Diceros bicornis minor: one gene and its partners. The protein of the gene in region 1 purifies or fractionates together with the protein of each later gene. This does not show direct contact. Links are inferred from orthologs where the notes say so. Each region holds a gene or a part of one and is shown in the gene's direction. Other genes may lie near its edges. The genes, in order: USP11, EIF4B and TCEAL1.

Region 1 (7,195 bases):
AGTGGGGAGGAAGAGAGGCCTACTCATTGGAGGTGTCAGTATTCCACACATACACCCCCGCCCCCCACTCAGTTTGAAGGTCGCAATCGGATCTCCGCAGAGGACGCCATGAAACATCTATTCTTCCTCAGTCTGGGGGAGCGGATCCACAAACTTCCTGACAGTGAGTGGATCTGGGGAATGGAGCTGCCGGTGGGGGGCCTGTGGGAAACAGGACAGCTGCAGACAGCTTGGGCAGGTCGTGTAGGGCTCTGGCTACGCCACCTCTAAGAGGGTACACCCTTGTTCACACGTGTGATGTGTTTATTACAAAAAAAGTTATTTTCGTTTTTAGTTCCTGTCACCTTTCATAGAAATTTTCAAACATACATAAAAAAATAGATGCAACATCACTTTACCTGGTGTGCGTGTGTGTGTGTGTGTGTGTGTGTGTGTGTGTAAGATCGGTCCTGAGCTAACATCTGCCAATCCTCCTCTTTTTTGCTGAGGAAGACTGGCCCTGGGCTAACATCCATGCCCATCTTCCTCCACTTTATATGGGACACCGCCAACAGCATGGCTTGACAAGCGGTGCGTTGGTGCGTGCCCAGGATCCAAACTGGCAAATCCCAGGCCCCGCAGTGGAATGCGCACACTTAACCGCTTGCGCCACCGGGGCGGCCCCTACTTTACCTTTTTTTTTAAGTAAATGTTTCCTTGTAAAATATATACTGAGAAATGCACAGATCGTAAGTATACAGCACAATGAATTTTCACAAACTAGACACACCCATGTAATGGCATCCAGGTCAAAAACCAGGATGGGAGAAGCTCCCCCAGCGTGCCCCCATTTCCTTCACTTACTCCCGGTCCCCTTCCCAAGGGTCACTGCAAATTGGACTTATAACCACATAGATAAGGTTTCCCTGTCTTGTACTTTACAGAAATGGAATCACACGGGGTATTCTCTTTTTATTTTTTTATTTTTATTTTTTTATTTTTATTTTATTTTTTTTGGTGAGGGAGATCAGCCCTGAGATAACATCCGTGCTAATCCTCCTCTTTTTGCTGAGGAAGACCGGCTCTGAGCTAACATCTATTGCCAATCCTCCTCCTTTTTTTTTTTTTTCCCCCAAAGCCCCAGTAGATAGTTGTATGTCGTAGTTGCACATCCTTCTAGTTGCTGTATGTGGGACTCGGCCTCAGCATGGCCGGAGAAGCGGTGCGTTGGTGCGCGCCCGGGATCTGAACCCGGGCCGCCAGTAGTGGAGCGTGAGCACTTAACCGCTAAGCCACGGGGCCGGCCCTGGTATTCTCTTTTTATATCTGACTTGTAAAAACTTTTTAATATGGATATTTTAAAATTAGCTATATTTATATACTAGACCAAATAATAGGTTGAGTCCCCAAGTATTCCAATAGATCATCAACTTGTGGCCAATCTGGTTTTATCTGTATTCCTTCTGATTATTTTGACTCACATCCCAGACATATCGTTCATCTATAAATAATTTCAGCATGTATCTCCAAAATATTCTTTTAAACGTAATGATATTATCACAGCTAAAAAAATTGGCCCACTTCTCATGTCTCCCCACTGGATTAATCTAAATCAAATCCCAGATACCATCCATCACCTAGACTTAACAGGTGGTAATTGTAGTACCATCGTCACACTTGACAGAATTAATAATGATTTCTTGGTGTCATGTAATAGTCTATATTCCACTTCTAGTGTATTTGGTTTGTGTGTGGGATTATTTAACAGACGAAAGTCAGGTCTCTCAAAGAAAAGGCAAATTTTTCTAGTTTGCCCTGTGGGGCCATATGGGAGGTGGTCCTGCATGGCCCCATGGGTCATTCCCCACTTCTGTCTCTCCTCCACGCACAGCTACTTCCATATTTGCACTAAAGGAGATCCAGCTACAAAAGGAGGCCAGCCTTCGATCTTCATCAATGCCTGACTCAGGTAGATGTGGCCCTCGCCCTCTTCCCTGCCTCTTCCACCTACCTGCTTGCCTACCAACAGCCATCCGCTCTGCTTTCCCCCCGCAGGCAGGCCAGCTTTCCGTGTGGTGGACACCGAGTTCTAAGCTGAGTTCTAAGCCACAGATCAAGGCCCCAGCAGGCAGCGGCTGGAGGGATGCCACACCCCTCACAGGGCAGCCCCCCAACTGCATTCTCCCTGCTTGCTGCCTGCCTACCTGCCTGACTCATGCTCGCCTGCCCACGTGTCCCCTGCTGCCTGTCTGGACACCCGACCATTGGCCTGTCAACCCACCTATTGGCCTGTCTGCTGGGTGCTAACAAAGCTCTCATTGCTCCTTCGCCTGGTCTCTCTGTCTGTCTCTCTCTCTGTCTTGGTAGTTGCCAGCGGACAGCATGGCCATGCCAGCCTCCCACACTGAGGCCGGGCCTGTACCCCTCCCCATCAAACCCTCCCCCAGGACCACTACCCCGTGGCCAGCCAAGGGGCCGGAGCTAGCCCAGGCTGGGGATCTCGAGTCAGACAAGATGTGGTGATGCCTTGGGTCTGAGGCTTCCCCTGCCTGCTTTCCTGCCTGCCCCACCTGCCTCATGTTGTGTGGGCTTTTTTTTTTTGTTTCATTCATTGTTGTTTTTTAATTATTTTAAATGAGGTTTTCATTTTTTAAATGCAATATCTCTGTATACAGACTGGCTGGGCTCCACCCCCTGCGTGTGGCCCTCCCACAGTATTTTGTGCAATGAAGCCCCACTCCCAGCCTTTCTAAGGCAGGGACACAGCCCCTATTCGGAACCTTGACCATCACCAGACCCTGGGGTCAGCTAAGGGAAAGCATGCCTCGACCAGTCGCCTTCCTACCCCCGCCTGCCATCCCCAGCCACAGGGGGAACTGGGGACTACCGGAGACTCTCTGGGAGATGGGCGAGGTGGGGGGCCCCCACTCTTTCCCTCCTGCAGTCCCATAGCTGGGGCCTTCTTCCTTCTCAGGGTCTCCCTAGCCCAGCCCTCCTGCCCCCGTCCCACTTGGTGCTGTTGAGTAGGGGCCCTGCCAGGAACTGACCAACTCAATGAGGAGCCATAGTGTGTATATGTGCACAAGCAGGGGCAAAGGGGAGCATGGGGGGTTGTGCCCAGGCATTACCCTCTAACTCCTGGGGAGGGTGAGGCAGGGCAGGGACAGTCTCTGGGGTCAGTCCCAGATGGGTGGTTACCTCCCCTTCCTCCACTCTAAACCCTGGGGCCCTCAGATGGGGTGGGAGGGCAGCAGTGGGGGCCCTCCTAGTGGGGTTTGGGGGGTTGGGTTCCTGAATGCACCATAATTGCTGTATGAAATATTAAAGTCTAAAGTGAAAAACCTGATTGCAAATCCCTGCAGGGGTGGGGGTGGGCTTGACCCAGGGTTAGTACTGGGACCTTGGCGAATTCATACCTGGTCCCCAATGTCTAGGAGAGCACTGAGAGTGGGCCAGGGGCACATCACGACTGTGAAAAAGGCATCTGAGGGGTTGTACACGCAACAGTGGAACATTGAGTTGAAGCAGGTAGGGCAGGCCGAATAGAGGGGCTCAGAAGCAGAGAGAGGAGTTAGATTTACCCAAGAATATGAGGAAGCCAGATAGAGGGTAGAGATAGGTGAGTGTGGAGAGGTTGTTTGAAAGACACTTGGAAGGCCCAATAAAACCAGGAGGTGGGGAGATGAGGCAGAGAGATCCAGTATGACCACTATATGTCTGACCAGGACACCATGAGTTGGGCCAGTTGGAGAGGGAATATGAGAGGAGGGTAGATTTTGGATCACTGAGTAGGTAGGGGAATCCTTTAATACATGGGTCAAATTGAGGAGTTGGGCCATCGATGGAACTGGAAGTTTGGATCATTGGTGTCTAGGAAGTAATGGAAACCATGGGCATGGGTAAGGTGATGCTGGGAAGGATGCAATGGTTTGTGAGAATCCAGAGGTTAAATGGTGCAGCCTGGAACTTGGCCTCAGGTGTGAGGATAGCTGAGGCTTTGGGGGCTGGCATCACAGTAATAAAGACACAATCTTTGCCCCGTGGAGGTTAACTGAAAATAGAGGTAAATTATGAGATTGTGTGTATGGGTGTATGTGTGTGTGGAGGGTGTTAAATTGTGCAGGGAGAGGGTATTCTGGACACTCAAGGCCCAGGGACCTGTGTGCATGGGCCTAGAGGCATGGAAAGGCAAGGTGTGTTCTTGCCTGTGGGAATGGGTGGTGACAGTGAAGGAAGTCACTGAAACATCTGGAATCATGAACCTGTCTTGGGGAATTTGTGGGACGGTCAGGTGAGGACAGCGAATAGGCAGGTAGATGCAGGGAGCCAGAGAGGGAAATGACGTTATCACCAACAGGCAGGGCTGGGAGCCCTAGAAGAGAAAAGGATGGCATAGCCTAGTGCAGTGGTTCTCAACCGGAGAATCCCCACCACCACCACCACCACTAGGGGATGTTTGGCAATGTCTAGAGACACTTTTGGTTGTCCCAATTGGGAGGTGCTACTGGTGTCTTGTGGGTAGAGGCCAGGGATGCAGCTAAACATCCTACAATGCTTCCCACAACAGAAATATCAATGTTGTCTTGGTTGAGAAACCCTGGCCTAGTGCAATAGTTCTCAAACGGTCTCAGGATCCCTTTATATTCTTAAAAATTGAGGACATCCAAAGAGCTTTTGCTTATGTCATGTAGCCCCTGGAAAATTACACCGCACATGCAAGAAAGAATGGCAATGGAAAAGTATTGTGAAAATAGTTTTGACTTTGTAAACCCCCTTAGAGGGTCTCCTGAACCAGTAGAAAGCCTAGGACCACAGTTTGAGAATCCTTGGCCTGGTGTTTAAGATCACAGCTCTAGAACTGGAATTCCTGAGTTCGAACCACAGCTCAGCCATTTACTAGCTGGAGCAAAGTGAATTAATGTTTCTGGACCTCAGCTTGCCTCATTGTTGCCCATGGACCACAGTGATATTATCTGCTGCCTAAGGCTACTATTTACATGCAATAAAGCACTTAAGCAGGGCCGACTATTATTAGTTATTGCTGTAACTCCAACAAATACACAGGGCCTAGGGCTAACTTGCCTTCAACACGTTTGTCTAGAGAATAAATCTGGGCAGGCAGGGAAGCGGCCCGCAGGCCTGGGTGGCGCTTTAGAGGTGGTGACCTTTTTCGCATTGGGTTTTTATGGATCAGAAGGGTAGTGCAATGAAAGAAAGGCATTCTGGTCAGGCTAACAAAGACGCTGCTCGCAGGGTAGAGGCCCCCAGCAGAGCATGGGACCCGTAAGACCAGAACCTGTGTGTGTGTGTCCCTGAGCACTCCTGAATATGTCTTCGTCCACCTCGGGGACCTCTGCCTCCACCTTCCACATTACCGTCTGCCCTGGCTCAACATGGTGTCAGAATCCCACAGGGTACCTTTGTCTTTCTTAGTTCCCAACTGGAGGTTTTACCCCGCCTATTGGTCGCAGTGATCACCGCCCACAGCCCGACGCCTGCCTAGCCCTTCCACGCGTCCAAGCGTGGGGTCCATTTCCAAGATGGAAGTAGCCCCCCGGCGTTTGGGGGGCTCTGTTTCCGCTTCCGGGACCAGAATCCGGAAGTGGCAGTTGAGGGGCCTCTTCCTATCACCAGCTGCGGCGGTTGTGAGAAGAGGGTGAACGGCCATGGCGGCAGTCGCAGCGGATCCGGCGGCTGCGGATGCGGCCGAGGACCGAGAGCCACAGCGCGAAGCCATGCCGGGCCTGGAGAGCCAGCGGCGCCAGATCAAAAACAGCGAGAGTGGGCGAGAGCGTCCACTGCGGACCGGCGAAAGCTGGTGAGGCAGGGCGGCAAGCGGAGCCTCGGCTGAGCGGACGGTGGGGGCGTCGGCTACGGGGCGGCCGTGGTCCACAGGAGAATCGCCGTGGGGGCGGGGGCACTGGCCTGTGGGACGGAGGACGAGAGGGGCGGGGAAGTGCCTGTGAGTGGATCGCCTCCTCTGGGAAAGAGGCGGGGCCTGTGTGGTGGAGCCTGACGCCTGAGAACAAGATGTGGTTTGTTGTGGAAAGGCAGGGGGCAGGGCCTGAGAAGAACGGCCCTGGGGGTGGGGCCAGGCGTGTGTTGGAACTCGGAACCTGGGAAGGAGGCGGTCTCTGCAACAGAGCCCGGGGGCGGGGTCTGTGTGGCGAAACGGGGGCGGTGCCGGGTACCCCGCGGCGCCTGAGCGAGGCCGGGCGGGTGACGTCGGGCAGAAGAGCGGGATCTGAGCCTTACGGCTGTGGGCAGGAGGAGGGAGCTGGCGCCTGGGAACGAGGCTTGTGACGTGGTCCGAGGGGCGTGTCCTGAGCCGGAGGAGAGACTGCAGAGGGGAGGTGGTGTCTGTGAAGCAGAAAATGGCGCCTGCGAATGAGCAAAGTTTGTGACGCGGTGAGGTTTTTGCCTCTGGCCGAGGCCTTCTTCCCGGGACAGGAGAAAGTGCAGGTGATTGGCATGGGAGGGGCCTTCGATGTTACGTTTGTTTTCTGTTTTGGTACTGTTTTGTTTTTGTAATCAGGAAAAAATAGTAATTTAAAAAAAAAGTCCATGCCTATCTTGATAAATCGGCTTGTTCTACTGATTTCTTTGCTAACCAGTGCTTGAAATGAACTGTTTATGGGTTCATTTTATTTCTCGCTAAGTTGCATCCCGTTTTTTAAATTGTGAAATTCGTGAGACCTAAAAAGATGATAGAAAACGTTTACGTAGCGCAGATTGATGGACATTCCATAAAAATAAACGGCCTTTGCTCTTCAAAAATTTCAAGGTCGTGAAAGACAAAGGATGAAGAACTGTTCCAGACTGAAGGAATTAATGGGATTTAACGAGTCATGATAACTAAATGCAACGTGTGATCCTAGATTGGATCCCGGAGGAGAAAAAATAAATTATTTAAAAGTCAGGTTTTTTTCTCATAAAATTAATTTTCTCTCTTTTACTATAAAAGATATTAATGAGAAAATTGGTAAAATTTGACTAAGGTCTGTAGATTAGATATTAATACTGCTAATTTCTTGCTTTTGATAATTGTATTGTGGTTATGAAAGAATATCTTTATTTTTTTGGAAATACATGCTGAAATATTTAGGAGTAAAGAGCCATCGTGTAAGCAGCTTACTCTCAAATGCTTGAAAAAAAAGAGCATATATAAAAATGTATTGAGGGGGCGGGCCCAGTGGTGGCGTAGTGGTTAAGTTCG
Region 2 (7,824 bases), on another chromosome or scaffold:
GCTCAGATCTCAGTTCAGTTCTCTTTTTTTTTCTTTCCTCAGCTGAACTGTTTGCAGCGTGCTTCATGCATTCATGGTTCAAGGGCCAGCCAGAGACTTGGGCAGACAACACCAGAATTCTGGCTCTCTTCTTTACAGGATTCCCCTCTCACTTTCTGAGAGCAGACACTGCCCTGGGCAATGCCTTTCTAATGGCAGAAATGTGGTCGGTTTTCTAGAGAAGCTTCAGCCACCCTGGACCACACTGGGCTGGCCCACCCCACATCAGTACCTTTTTCCAAGTTTCCGCTCCCCTCCAAAATCTGCTTGTCTTTGTTTCACAGCTTTTAGATAGTGGTGGGCTTTGTTTGTTTGTTTGTCTTCTTCCAGAGTTTACTGTTGTTATCTACAAAAGGATCAATCCATTGGGAACTTATTTACTATACCAGAAACAGAACCCCTAGATAATCTAGATATATATTTAAAATTAACCTTATACATTCAAAACTGTGATGAAAAGACTTTTATTTTGGAGAAATACACATCTTTAAAGCAGCAATATATTTTGTTTTCCAGTAATGAACACTAAATGAATCCAGGCATATAAGTCAATATACAGTATAACCTCTTGAAAACCTCAATAAATGTAAATTTCTTGAAAGTCTTACTTCAGCACCAGCAAATATGTACCGAGCACCAACAATATTCCAGATGTTAATTCACGGAAGGCATAAACATAATCAACATGGATGCTGCCCTCCAGGAGCTACCAGACCAGGAGGGAAGGCAGTTCAAGGAGGAAGGTGACAAGGGCCGAAAAGAAGGTGTAGGCACAGCGCTGGTGGGGCTCAGAGGAAGAAGCTCAGAAAAAGCTTCCTAGAAAAGGGGAGTTTGAAGAGCCCTTGAAGGATAGATTTTATTGTTGACCCATTCGGCAGTGAAGGAGGACAGAGTACTCCAGGCAGAGCGAAGAGCAAAGGAAAACAAGACTCAAAGTTAGGAAAGCACAAGGTATACATGGCTGGAATGTAGCAGACCAGGGAGGATAGTAGGAAATAAGTGTGGACCAGTAATCTGGGGCTGGATATCCACAGCCTGGAGTATCTGCCTAGGCCACAGAGAGCCATGGAAGGTTTGCCAGCAGGGGAATGTGTTCAGACCTATGCTTTAGGAAATAAATCTGGCAGCTACTTATTACATGTATTGAAGCAGGGAAAGACTACAGGCAGGAAGACTCAGAAGAGTGACGCATGGTCAGGGTGAGAAATGACACGGGAAATGATAGGAAAATGGAAAAGAGGATACGAATATAAGAGACGCTGCAAATGTTAGGCCTTGGCAAGTGATTTTCAATAACCAGTTTCTGACCCACAGAAACTGAGATAACAAATGTCGGTGGTTTTATGCCAGTAAGTTTTAGGGTAATCTGTTATACAGCAGTGGATAATTAACAGTTTATTTCTTCCAGATTTCTTCAGAAAAAATGATACAAAGTACTTGTCATAGACTTATTTTGCGATTTTAAGTTTTCTTTATTTCTATTTATTTATTTATTTTGCTGAGGAAGATTCACCCTGAGCTAACATCTGTTGCCAATCTTCCTCTTTTTTTGCTTGAGGAGGATGAACCCTGAGCTAACATCTGTGCCAGTCTTCCTCTATTTTGCATGTGAGCCGCCGACACAGCATAGCAGCTGACACAGCATGGCCGCCGCCAAGTGGTGTAGGTCTACGCCCAGGAACCCAACCCTCGAACCCAGGCTGCCAAAGTGGAACACGCAAACTTAACTACTAGGCCACAGGGCAGGCCCCAGTTTTCTTTACTTTTGAGAAGTCTCTGGGAAACTGAAAAGAACGTGGACCTGATAAGACAGGCAGCTCTGGGTCTGCAGTTCTGCCACTTGCTGGCTATGTGCACTTGGGAAAGGTACTTACTGTTTCCAAGCCTCAGAGTCATTATCAAAAATAGGATTAATAATATGAACCTTTCACCAACACACCGCTTGGCAAGCCATGCTGTGGCGGTGTCCCATATAAAGTAGAGGAAGACGGGCATGGATGTTAGCCCACGGCCAGTCTTCCTCAGCAAAAAGAAGAGGATTGGCAGATGTTAGCTCAGGGCCGATCTTCCTCACAAAAAAAAAAATTAAAAATAATAATATGAACCTTAGAGGGCCATTGTGAGGACTAAATAAGCTAGTTTGTTTAGTGCTTGGTATGACCCTGGGATATATTAGGTGCTTAGTAACTGAAAGTCTCTACCTACCCCACAGGTCCCTACCTTATCTGGCTCTTCTTTGAACTTTCCGAAATCTACTGTTTCCAATAGTCAATTTTTTTTCTTAATTCTCCTATATCATTCCATTTTAACGATCCAAACCAGAAGAAATACAGAATCTCAGGCCTCGCCCTGATCCTACTGAATTGGAATCTGACTTTTAACAAATTGCCCGGGTGACTTGTAAGCACATTAAAATATGAGAAGCATTGGACTAGTAGCTATCTCAAGTTTCATATGGCTTAAACAGAGCCCACACACTCTCTCCAAACCTGCTCCGCCCCGGGCTTTGCCTTCTGAGTAAACGGCATCACCCAGGTGTTCATGCCAAAACCTGTGCCCTTCACATCTAATCAGTCTCCAAGTCTACTTCCAAAATGTACCTGCATCTCTCTCTTTCCATCTCTACACTCATATCTAAGCCACTATCTCCTCTCACCAGGATTACAGCAGCCAGGGCCAACTTATCCAGTAGGCACAGCAGGCTCAGTACCTAGGCCCCACCATACTTTTAGAGGCCCACAAAAATATTTTAGTTTATTTTAAAATCATAAGAAAAAAATAAACATTTAGGTCAAAGAAAATGGTTTAATGTATCATATTAATACATTTGCGTTTACACCAGCACAATCATAAAATATAATTTTCAATATTGTTTTTATGGAGAAGGGTACAAAAGTCCCTAGAGTCCATGAAAAGTCACAATGGGACCCTGGCAGCAACGAGCTTTTAACTGTCTTTCTCTTCCATTACTGCGTCTGTATAATCCACTCTCCATTCAGTAGCCTGAGTAATCTTCTTGTTTTTAAATTCAAGCATGACTTCTATACAGTAAAGTGCACAAATATTTTTTTTTTTTTTTTTTTTTTTACTTTTCCCCCAAAGCCCCAGTGGATAGCTGTATGTCATAGCTGCATATCCTTCTAGTTGCTGTATGCGGGACGCGGCCTCAGCGTGGCCGGAGAAGCAGTGCGTGGGTGCGCACTCGGGATCGGAACCGGGCCGCCAGCAGCGGAGCGCACGCACTGAACCGCTAAGCCACGGAGCCGGCCCAAGTGCACAAATCTTAAGTGTACTATGTGATGAACTTTTACATAAATATCCACTCATGAAACACATCAAGATACCAAGTAATCCTTTTCAAAATTTTACTTCGTTATGACATTCCCTTGTCTAAAATCCTTTCATGCTTTCCCAACCCACATGGAAGAAATTCCAAACTCCCAAACCTGGTTTAATAGTTCACATGATCCAACCCCTACCTATCGCTCAAGCTTCATCTTGTACCACTCTCCCCCTCCCTCACCATACTCGAGCTACCAGTCCTCTTTTTTTTTTTTTTTTTTGGTGAGGAAGATTGTCCCTGAGCTAACACCTGTGCCCATCTTCCTCTATTTTGCATGTGGGACCCCACCACAGCATTGCTTGATGAGTGCTGTGTAGGTCCGTGCCCCGAGTTCCAGGGGGATCCAGGCCACAAACCCAGGACTGCCTACAAGGAGCACGAGAACTTAACCATTACGCCACCTGGCCGCCTGCTACCATCCTTTAAATCCCTCAACCTGCCAAGATCCTCCGGCCTTGGAGCTTTTAATTGAGTGTGCATCCTCTGCCCTCTCCTAAAGCTCTTCCTAAAGACGTTCACAGGGCTGCCTATTTGTAATTCAGATCTCCATTTACATATTACTTCCACAGAGGCTTTCGCTGACCAGGCAATCAAAAGTTGCATCCAGTCGCCTGTTATCAAATCACCTTGATTACCTGCAGAGTGCTTATCATTTCTAACATTTTATTTATTCACTGCATATTGCCCGTCTTTCCTTCACTGGACTATAGCGTCCTTTGAAGCGGTTTTGTTATCTCTTGTACCCAAAAAGCCAGTATCAGTGCTTGACACAGGGCAGGTGCTCAATGAAAATTTTCACGGCATGAAATACTAATATATGATAAAATGTAGCATTAGCTGGATAGCTGTGAAATACGGGCCTGAGTCTGACTAAAGCTAGTCATTGAAAAGAAAGATTAAACGAGGTAAAAGCTGACGGCAATTAAGTGTTCAGTATTTGTTACTTACTTATTCCTTCTAAACATGCCCAATTAAAATGATCCTTAAGCAGGATATTGCGCTTGTTTTGCACGAAAAGTGATTTTAAAAGAAACTTAGTAAATAAACCACAGATGTTTTTACACATGGGAAGAAGAAAAAAAAGGAAGAAAGAAACTCAGAATCTTCCCTTCCAGAGAATCAACCGCAGCACACCCGTTCCAGGTTCCAGCCGCTGCATTCTGACCCCGAGCAATAGAACCAGCGAGCACCACCCCGCCCCTTCCGCCCACCCCTCGGCCGGAAGTCTGAGAATCAGAGACCCCGCCCCGGGCTCAGAGCTGCCCCCTCGGCCGCGCGTAGCCATACGTAAAGCGTGGGGGTTTCGCGACAGCCCAGGCCCCACCCCTTTGGCCACATGTCACGCAGGTCTTCCCCGTCGGACGCCGCGCCACCTCCTCGCGCTGCTTTACGAACCCAGAGCAGCGCCGCCCCGCCCCTCCCAGTTTCGCGTCTCCTAGCCCGACGGGCCCGCTATAATCACGTGATCGCCTCATCCGGGTCCTTTGCGTTCTCTCTCCCTCTCTCAACATGGCGGCCTCAGGTGAGTGAGCGGCCGAGCGCGGCCAAGGACCGGGCTCCGAAGCCACTCTCCGAGCGTGATCCAGTGGTTCCTTGGAGTTGGAGAGCGGGCGGCACCGCTTCCCTTCGGGTTTTGGGGCTGCGGCAGGCTGGCGGCTTGGCCGTGTTAGGTTATCGCCTCGGGATGTTTTGGGGGGAGAGGAAGGACACCTTCCCCTCTCCCTCACACCCTTTTCACCCCGTGTGCGCAAGGTTGGAGTGGGGAGTAATGATGGGCTCTGGCTAGAGTTGGAGTGAGCAGGAGGCGCAGAGAGATCTGTGGGAGGCGTGAGGCCTTCTCACACACGGGCAGCCCTGTGCCCGCGGGAAGGCGTGGAGAAAGGGAGGAGGCGGTTGGCGCGCGGACGGGTGCACACCAGACCAGGTCTCCGAGGCGCGAGGCCGTTGCGGACGCGAGGGGGGGCTGGGGAATAAAGGGGGGGGCAGTTAGAACGCGAGCGCGAGTCGGCGGAGGGGCGGGGGAAGGTGGCGATGCGCGTGCGCGGTAGGAGAGGCCAGGGTAGTGGAGACAGGCGCGCCTTAAAAGCACGCGCGAGAGCCCAGATGGGGAGGTGTTCCGCGCCTGTTTTGCTTTCCTTTGTGTCCTTCCACTTTCTGCTCTTCCCCTTTTAGAGGTGGCTTGGTCCCTATGTTCTCCCGAGGGTAAATGTGTTAAGTTTGGAGGTTGAAGCTACTGGAGTTAGGTGGGGGTAGGGAACCCAGTGCGGTGCGCCCACGTGTTGGCGGAGAGGAAGCAAGGGTGGAGACCCAGATTTCTTGTAGGCTTTTTTTCTTATTCAATCAACACATACTTACTGAACGAAAACTATATGCCAGGCACGGTTCTAGGTGTTGGAGATGCAATGGGGAACAAGATCAAATCCCTTGACAGCTTCCATTTTGGTTGAATTTTGATAGCTCCAGTGGTAGAGTTCAGCTCTCTCTTTTTTTAGATAGCTGCACAACTACTACAGAGTGCTTTTAAAATAATACTAGTGGCTAGAGTTGGTTTCCTTTTTAGACTTCTTCGGGAGAGGGAATGTCACTGTCAGGCAAATCTATTTGCATTTCTAATAGGCTTACCAGTGAGCTGTGCAACGATTTCGTAGCATTGGTTTTAGTTTTGGGGATATAGTTTCTTTTTCCTCGCATGACCCTGCATTCTACAAAACATTTATTGAACCCTGCTATCTCTGGACACTCACTTCTAACCAAGAATGTATCTTCTCTGTTATTACATAGGAAACTAAGGATTACGTATGTCTTTGGAAAATGTTGAGGAAATTGAGGTGTATTTGAGCTTAATTCCCTTCATTGGCATAGCACTTGACAATTGACCAAGCACTTTTATATGTATTGTCTTATTTGATTCTCTTATTTGATTGTCTGTGAGATAATGTAGGCAGATGGTGGTATCTCCCAGCTGAGGAAGATGAAATTTTGTTCAAGGTCAAACTGCTTGCCAGTCGAAATTTTTGAGACTCTTGACTCTTCTACATTATCAACTTGGAAATGACAAAGTTGGCTTCCATGTCATCATAAATTTGGGATGCTCCCTGAAAGCTTCATCTGAAGTAGAGTACTTACTTGGCCTGGATTTGCCATCTTGATGGCTTAGTGTCATAATTTAGTGAAAAGCCTATATTCCCTTTCTCCATAACTTTTGTGGAATTTTTAGAGGTGGAAGATAATGTTAGCAATCCGTGTCCTTCATTTTACGGAGTTGAGTGAAATTTGCACTGGTTAAAGTGGTTTGCTTAGTCTTTGTCCCCTTCACCTGTTCTTCGATGTTTACCCTACACCCTTGGAAGCCCTCATGTCCTTTAAGTTGGTTCCATAAATCTTTCTGGCTTGTGTACTATGTGTAAGGGAACTACGCTAGTGTCTGAGCAGAAGGTTACATCTGACGGTCTGCCCTTGAGGAACTTGGGGTTTATCAAATTTCTTTCCTTACTTTGAATCTTCCAATTGCATTGATTTTGTCAAGTGACCAGTATTCACAGATGTGGCTGTATTGATGAGACTATAAAATTCTCAGTGTATTTTCAGTATACTACTTGATAATGCTCAGTGTCTTGTTGAAAATAGACCTTATATGTTCTCAGTGAAAGTACATGATAAAATTTCATAGGCCTCTTCTACTGTTAAATGACACCAAAAAATTCTTTGCAGCAATACCAGTCAGTATCCATTATGACCCATTATTGACCTTCAAGAACTGAAAGTGTCCCAGATTTGACTATTGAATCTGCTCTCCTTACCTAAAAGGAATCGAATGTGCTTGATACAGGTTAACATTTTTTGAGACTAAAAAGCTTTAAAATTGGAAATAGTGTATGTATGCCCACACAAGGCCTTCATTTGCATAGCGCTTCAAAATGCCATTGCATGTGGCATCTTGTTTTATGGGGAGAGGATGGTGTCCAATGGTTGTTTTCATAAAATGCTGACCCTTATAGTTAAAAATCACTTCAGTGGTTGCCATTATATACTGTTCACATGTTACCTATTTTCAAATCCCATCCCCTACTAATATTTGTTATTCTAGGAGTAAGATACCCAGATTCAGAAGGCCAAGACTTAAAACTCCTTATAAAAATTCAAGGACAGGGGCTGGCCCTGTGGCGTAGCAGTTGAAGTGCCCGTGCTCTGCTGCTGGCGGCCCGGGTTCGGATCCCGGGCGCACACCGAGGCACCGCTTGTCAGGCCATGCTGTGGCAGCGTCCCATATAAAGTGGAGGAAGATGGGCATGGATGTTAGCCCAGGGCCAATGCTATAGGAGCCAATCTCTGCATAACTGCTTTCTTTCAAAGCATAGAGTAGGTCTAGAATATAATCTGGTTGGTCATGAATGATAACTTTTGGAGTAGGATTAGTGTTAAGTCACTTGGGAAAAACATGG
Region 3 (7,217 bases), about 56 Mb from region 1:
CCCTAGAGTTGGAGGGGACCTCATTCATTGCTCTTCCACTGCCCCTCCCCCCACCTTTTAGGGAGAAGAAGAAGGACACAAACAGAGGCAAGGAGAGGGGTAGAAGGCTCCCAGGCCTCCAGAGCCCTCCAGCGAGTGAGTGACAGCCTGAGTCCTGCCTAGCCCAGAGCCTGGGACTCTCTCCCTCTGGGCCAATGTTGGACCTGCCTTTCCTGTCCCTGAGTGTTTCCTAGCAGCCTGAGTTTCTACTCTACCTTTCCTCAGAGCCCCTTCCTTGTTTCTCTGGGCATGTACAGGATGTGTGTGTGTGTGTGTGTGTGTGTGTGTGTGTGTGTGTGTGTCTAGACCCAGTTAGTGTGAGGCCAGAAGCAGCAAAGAGAAGGCTCTTATCATTGCATTTCCCACTTGGCTATTTCCCCTGGGGTGGGGGCGGGGGAGCGGGAGAGGAGAGCCTGAGAGCCACAGGCTGGACAGGGCCTGCTGCAGCGCACAGCAGCAAGTCTTGAGACCAAAGTACTGCCATAGGTGTCATTAGGAAAGAATGCAGAGGCTGCAGAAGCAGCAGGGGAACCTCTGGGCTGGAGAGGGCAGACAGGCTCTGCAAAATGAAACCAGACCTCTATGGGGTCTGTGCTGTAGAGGGGCTCACAGGGAGGGGGCTCTGTTCTGCCACAGAAGTGCAGCCTCACGAGGGAACAGGAATCTCTGAACCAGAAACCCATCCTGGGCTTCCTCAGATCCCCCAGAGAAAGGCCTCGCCCCTGGAGGCTGTTGTCATAGCAGCAGCTGCCAGGGGCTGACTGCCTTCCCCCTTGCCCGCCTGGCTGCCCTGCCTGCCTTCTGATACTTTCAGCTCCCGCTACCTGAAAAGGCCTGTGCCGCACACCCCGGCTGCGTGTAAAGGTGTCTGGAGCCCACTGCCCAGGAGCAGTTTAACAAAGTGGTTTAAGGTTCAATCATTCATGTCCTACTGCCAGGGTTTAAATCCCATCTGGGCTACTTACTATCATCTGTTTCCATGGCAATAATTTGTCACCTCTCAGAGCCTTAGTTATCGCACCTTTAAAATGGAGTTCCTTAGGGCCGGCCCCGTGGCTTAGCGGTTAAGTGCGCGCACCGCTACTGGCGGCCCGGGTTCGGATCCTGGGCGCGCACCCACGCACCGCTTCTCCGGCCATGCTGAGGCCGCGTCCCGCATACAGCAACTAGAAGGATGTACAACTATGAATACAGCTGTCTACTGGGACTTTGGGGGAAAAAAAGGAGGAGGATTGGCAACAGATGTTAGCTCAGAGCCGGTCTTCCTCAGCAAAAAGAGGAGGATTAGCACAGATGTTAGCTCAGGGCTGATCTTCCTCACACGCACACACACACACACAAAAATGGAGTTCCTTAGACTTAAACTCTCACTAGCACTAGTGAGCCAAGCACCATTTAGGTCTTCACAGGACCCTAAATCAGCAGTATCAAATCATATCTATCAGAATTATTTCACGGCCCCCACCCAGAGCACACAGAGACAAATAGCAGACCACATTCCTTTGTAACATGGTGGTCACCATGGCAGAACCACCTTCACCTTATTCCTTCTTGAGAGCCCTTTCTTTCAAGGGAACCCCAAATCAAGGCAGAGACTTAGAGCCAATATGAAGACACAGTCTTCATTCCTCCTTTCCCGGTTCTAATCCTTAAATCTCCCTTGTCTGCCCCCCCAGTTTACCAAGTTCTCATCAAGGGTTAATTCATACTGGTTTGGCAGCTTTCAGGGGCAACTGTGTCTTCTATCAGCAGCACTAGAAAGTAATCCCACCCTCAGAAGTCCTACTGAGAGTGGAAAGGAGGAGAACTGGCCTGACAGGGCACACTCCCGGCTGGCACACCCAACAGGGAAAAGGAATTTTTTCATTTGGAGTCAGAGCTCTTTGCTGAGATCTCCTTTAGATCTTTCCTGAGTTTGCTGAATTTATTATCGTATTTAGTACTAATGGCGTGCTTTAAATTAATATTTTGTAGCTCATGTCCTGAATGACAGAATGAGGATTCAAAGAATGAGGGAATGAATCGAACAGGACAACATTTAATCCAGAAAAACAGAAGCTTCTGTACTTGTTTAAAATTAAAAAGATTTACACAAGTGCATTAACAGGGATGTATGAAAGAGATCTGGGGGTCTCAGTTGACTTCAACTTAAAGTGTGATATGGCATCCACAAAATCTAGTATGATCTTAGGATGCATCTATAGATGTATAGTGGCTATTCTAGAATGAGGGCTGTGATAAGATCACTCCATTCTACACTAGGCAGAATATTCAGTATTTTCAGAGACATTTACAAATTCAGAAGCATGTAGGATGGTGAGTGACTTTGAAAAAATATATCACCTCAGAAAGAGCTGAAATAACTGGGGAGATTAAACCTAAAAAAAAGTCTTGGTGAGAACATAATTGTTTAAGGATTAAATGAGATAGCATATTGAAAGTGCTTAGTGCAATGCCTGGCATAAGTACTCAATTAATGTTAATAACAAAAGAATGATAATTAGTAGTACTATTAGCACTAAGTCATTCTATTATTATTATTACTATTACTATAATTATAGTTAATGCTTATAGAGTGCTTTCTATGTGCTAGGCACTATTCCAGGTCCTTTACATATACTGACTTATTTATCCCTCTTACCAATCCTATGAGGGAGGTATTACTATATCTCCAATTTTGCAGATGAGGAAGTTGAGTCACAGAAAGGTCAAGTAGATTTCCCAGTGTGTCTCACAGATGGGAAGGGGAAAGAACCAGAACATTAACTCTGGCAGTGTCAGGCTATCAAGGGTAAAAGGCACTTTTGTTATAAAATACTTGTTTTGTACGACTCCAGAGGGCAGAACCAGGACCAATGTGTGTGAACTACTTGGAGGCAGATTTCAGCTCAACAAAAGAAAAAAACACTCTGAATGATTAGAACTGTCTGAAATTTCAATGAGATGTCTTTTAAGGTAGTGAGTTCTTCATCCCAGGATGTAAGGGAAAAAAGGATAGAAATGAATGAAATGGGGCTCCTCCTGGAAAGAAACCACACAAATGATGAAGCTAACCATCGGTGAAAAGGATAAAGAAGGTATAGTGAAACTTGGTTTAAAAGACACATCACTGAAAAATTGAAAAGTAAAACAGTTGTGGAAACGATATAAAAGTGAACTAATATCTGTCTTGCTGCTATCTCAACACAAAGTAAATTAGACGGAGAGAAGCGACACAAAGCTCTTAAAACAGGAAATTTCACACATGAATTTCTGTTTGGAAACTTACTAGACAGCTCGGGTTTGAAAAAAACAATCCCAGGATCCTCACAGATCTGATGGCCACCTACCCTGAAAGTGTAAACTACAGAGAGGTATAGTCTGATTTCTGGAGGAAAGGGCATCTACATGAGGAAGTAGCACCCAAGCTGATGCGAGTAGGTGAGAGGCATGCATGAGGCTGAAGATCATAAAACACCATTAGATCCAAAAATATATACTTGTAATGACAATTGAGTATGTGAGCATGATTTTAATCCTGCTACTCAGTGTGTGATTAACAGAATTATTGCATAGTTTAATAGGAATGTCCTCTGTGGTGAATCTATCTTTTTGCGTCCAGCAGTCCCAGGACCCAAATATTTGCTGATTTAATGAACTAATATAAACTTTCTCAACCAGCAACACCAGAGGTGGCTGGTTAAGGATTTAGAGTTCCAGCAAAATCTCTTTCTTCTATTACCAATAATAACTACTGAATATATGTATATACATACATATACACACACATAATAGTATGTATGTATATATGTGTATATATATACATAAATATATAATAATGCCACACTCTCCACTAAATATGCTCCCATTTCAGGTAAGTTTTCAGACTATTTGTACTTAGATGGACAAATGTGTATTTTGATTTATGAAAATCAAAGTGTTCAATCTTTTTAGATTTATATACTTTACAAACAACTTTTTCTAGAGTTCTAGAATTGAATGATTACCAACTTAGAATGGAGCTTCTATTCGTAATATAGGTCTGAAGGCTCAAAAAAAAAATAAAATCCTGAAGTCATGGAAAAGTGAAAGCTTATCTTTCATCAAAGTGACAAGAGATGAAAACCATGTTGATCGAGCCTAAGTGGACATGATGGAGTTATGAATGTGGATTAAAACTGGGAGAGGTGGTATATGATATTGATTCATTAATGAGAAATAGTCGAATTTCAGTGGAGGATCTGGACTGTAGAGGAAATAATGGGCCTTAGTGGCTGATGACAGGAGAATAAGGGAGAGGGTATCAGGCAAAGCGGCAGAGAGGAAGAGGCAATAAACCCCAAGACTAGACGCTGATCGTCTCTGGTAACCAGGAAAAGGCAAATATAAACAAAGAGAGGTGAGTGACGGTGCTTGGTGTGTTGGGGGTCAGGAAATACTGTCAGGTTGCTGCAGCACGGCCGCCGGTCAAAGCGGTAACTGGGGATCTGAGCTCGGCGGTGACGCGCGGCCCTCACGTGACCAGGAGCCTGTGTCTGCCCAAGTCTCTCTCGTCCTGGTCCTTTTTGCCTGTCCAGACAGCGTCTGCCTATTGCCCTTTGGTCGAGGGGAAAAGCACAACGAAGTAAGTCCCCTTGGTCCTCTTAAATCGGTGTGAGTGTCGGTGCCGCCCCGTAAACCCTGGAATCGGGATGGCAGCGTCCAGGCCTTTCCCTATGCCCAGCCCCGCCCCCCGCGCCCACAGTTCGGTGCAAAAAATGGTGGTTTAGAGGTGGGGTAGGGAGGTGAGTGAGCCCCCCCTCCCCGGGAGGGAGACACAGACACTTAGAAATAGTTTCTAAGCCATCTTTCGCTTCCACTTCCCGCCTGAAAAGAAATGACGAGCATTGCGGGGTGGAGGGGTAGGGGCACGGAGGACCAAGCTTGAGATGGGGCATCGGGGGGAGGGGAACTAGAAAGGGGCTGGCGTGGGGGCGGCGGCTGGTGCCCAGAAAAAGGGCGTGTGTGTCAGTCAGTCTTTCCCTCTTCTCCACTCCCCGCCCCCTACCCTGTCTTGCGTCTGTCTGCAGGTCTGCAGGTCGCAGCGGGGCACCTCGAGAGGACGCCTGGGAACAAACGGCCAGGAGAGGTCCAGGTCGGGGAAGGGGTGGGCAGTGGGCTAGGATGGAGTGAGAGGGAGGACGCTGATGGGCGCGGAGTCCGCGGCACCACCGCCCCGCCCCTGCCACTGCGGGAGAGGCCTGTGGCAAGGCTTGCTGGGAAAATGGTGGGCTTTCGGAAAGGAGGGGGCGACAAGGGCGGGGGGACGAGACGCGGCGGGGTCCCCAGGGCCAGAAAGCCTCTCAGCAAGCGTAGGTTGGAGGACCTGGGCCCCGAATCTGGAAAAGGCAGGTTATTGGAACCCATGGCCCGGGTTTTGGTCCAGCCATCAAGTATTCTGACTCGACTCTGCCTTTCTTGTCTCCTATGAATAACTGTGCTTAAAAAAGACGATTCTCAACATGGAAAAATCCTGCAAAGAGAATGAAGAACAGCCACAGAGCGCGCCCAAGGCAGATGAGGAGCGGCCTCCTGTGGAGCACTCTCCTGAAAAGCACTCCCCGGAGGAACCCTCTTCGGAGGAGCAATCCTCGGAGGAGGAGTTTTTTCCCGAGGAACTCCTTCCTGAGCTCCTTCCTGAGATGCTCGTGTCCGAGGAGCGCCCTCCGCAGGAGGGCCTGTCTAGGAAGGACCTTTTTGAGGAGCGCCCTCCCATGGAGCAGCCTCCTTGTGGAGTGGGAAAACATAAGCTAGAAGAAGGAAGCTTTAAAGAAAGGCTGGCTCGCTCTCGCCCGCAATTTAGAGGAGACATACATGGCAGAAATTTAAGCAACGAGGAGATGATAAAGGTAGCAGAGGAGATGGAAGAGATGAAAAGAGTACGCAACAAATTGATGATCATGCACTGGAAGGCAAGACGGAACCGTCCTTATCCCATTTAATGTGTTCAGCGTTTAATTCTGTTTTGCCTGATATAAGTATTGCCACCTGAACTTTGCATTTTTCTCATATACCTTTCCCCATCTTCTTAATTTTAACTTTTTATGTGGCTTTATTTTAGGTGTTTCGCTTGTAACTGGCATAAAATTGGGTTGCCCCCCCCAATGTGCAAGTCCCTCTCTTTCAGTCCTGAGTCTCACCCATTTGCATGAAAAGATGTACATTATATATTGTGAAGTGAAAAAAAGCAATTTTCAAGAAGTATATGTAGTATCCCAGTTTTGTAAAAAAAATGTATATTTATATATTAATATGCAAAGAAAAAACTGAAAGTATATACTTCAAAGGCTTAACAGTGACTGTGTGGTAAGATAATAGGTGATTTTTTTGGTTTTCCATTTTTGCTTTATAGGAATTTCTCATTTTTTCAACACGAACACATTTTACTTGTGTTGCAAAAAAATCCCAATATAATGAAAAATTGTAAAACAATTTAAAAAACTGTCAATCAGCTTATAAAGACAATGTGGCACTTAATAAATACTTGTCAGAACTTAAAAAAAGAAAAGTAAATCCCATGTTTCTTCTGAATCTCTTATGCCGAAATATAAACCAGGTACTTATATTTGTTTAAAGGTCATTCTTTTCCCGTTTACATAGGAATAATACTTGGCTTACAAGGCTGCTGTGGAACCAAATGAGGTAAAGATTGCATGAGCTGTGTGTTTCTTTCCCCCACCCGCACATGCAGGACCCCAGCCCCTATAGATTCCCTTCAAATACACAGAGTAGTACCCAAAGGAGATCTCACTTGTGCTCACAAATAATTCCTGTGAGATTCCAGGTGAGTGCCACATTCTATTTCTGTCCTCCTATTCTCTTCCCTTGGATACAATCATGTCTGCTGGGCACAGCTGTTCCTTCTCCTGGGTTCTGCTCCTTCCGTGGTCCAAAGTGCCAGCGCAAAGCCTCACTGATTGCTCTGGAGTCCCTGCCGGGCCAAAGCTGAACTGTGTCTCCTACTGATATATGGAGAATGCACCTTCTCCAGCTTTAATATTAACACTTCTCCAGGTGGATGCCATCCCAGTGTTCCTTAAACCTCCATGTCTTAAAGAATTCTTAGCAAAATAGTCCTTCCCATTTTTTTTTTCTGAAAGCTTCCCTTTTCTCCACTGGAATCAAACATAAGTTCACTGGGTCCTGGGCTAGAAGAGAAA

The links.
Region 2: the proteins of USP11 (region 1) and EIF4B purify together in Homo sapiens (affinity purification with western blotting; 3 studies listed by BioGRID, with this or other methods). This does not show direct contact. The link is inferred for Diceros bicornis minor from reciprocal best matches to the Homo sapiens genes USP11 and EIF4B.
Region 3: the proteins of USP11 (region 1) and TCEAL1 purify together in Homo sapiens (affinity purification with mass spectrometry; 4 studies listed by BioGRID, counting the BioPlex papers as one, with this or other methods). This does not show direct contact. The link is inferred for Diceros bicornis minor from reciprocal best matches to the Homo sapiens genes USP11 and TCEAL1.

The regions. Positions count from the first base shown.
Region 1 is NC_080781.1:41,032,271-41,039,465, forward strand, and holds the start of USP11 (ubiquitin carboxyl-terminal hydrolase 11), read left to right. Parts: upstream 1-4,170; 5' UTR 4,171-5,645; coding exon 5,646-5,797; intron 5,798-7,195. Other genes in the region: CDK16 (cyclin-dependent kinase 16), read left to right, coding at 73-163, 1,871-1,948, 2,035-2,072.
Region 2 is NC_080756.1:17,197,986-17,205,809, reverse strand, and holds the start of EIF4B (eukaryotic translation initiation factor 4B), read left to right. Parts: upstream 1-4,820; 5' UTR 4,821-4,891; coding exon 4,892-4,904; intron 4,905-7,824. UniProt on the Homo sapiens protein: Required for the binding of mRNA to ribosomes. Functions in close association with EIF4-F and EIF4-A. Binds near the 5'-terminal cap of mRNA in presence of EIF-4F and ATP.
Region 3 is NC_080781.1:96,664,872-96,672,088, forward strand, and holds TCEAL1 (transcription elongation factor A protein-like 1), read left to right. Parts: upstream 1-4,465; 5' UTR 4,466-4,642; intron 4,643-5,087; 5' UTR 5,088-5,152; intron 5,153-5,507; 5' UTR 5,508-5,519; coding exon 5,520-5,999; 3' UTR 6,000-6,626; downstream 6,627-7,217.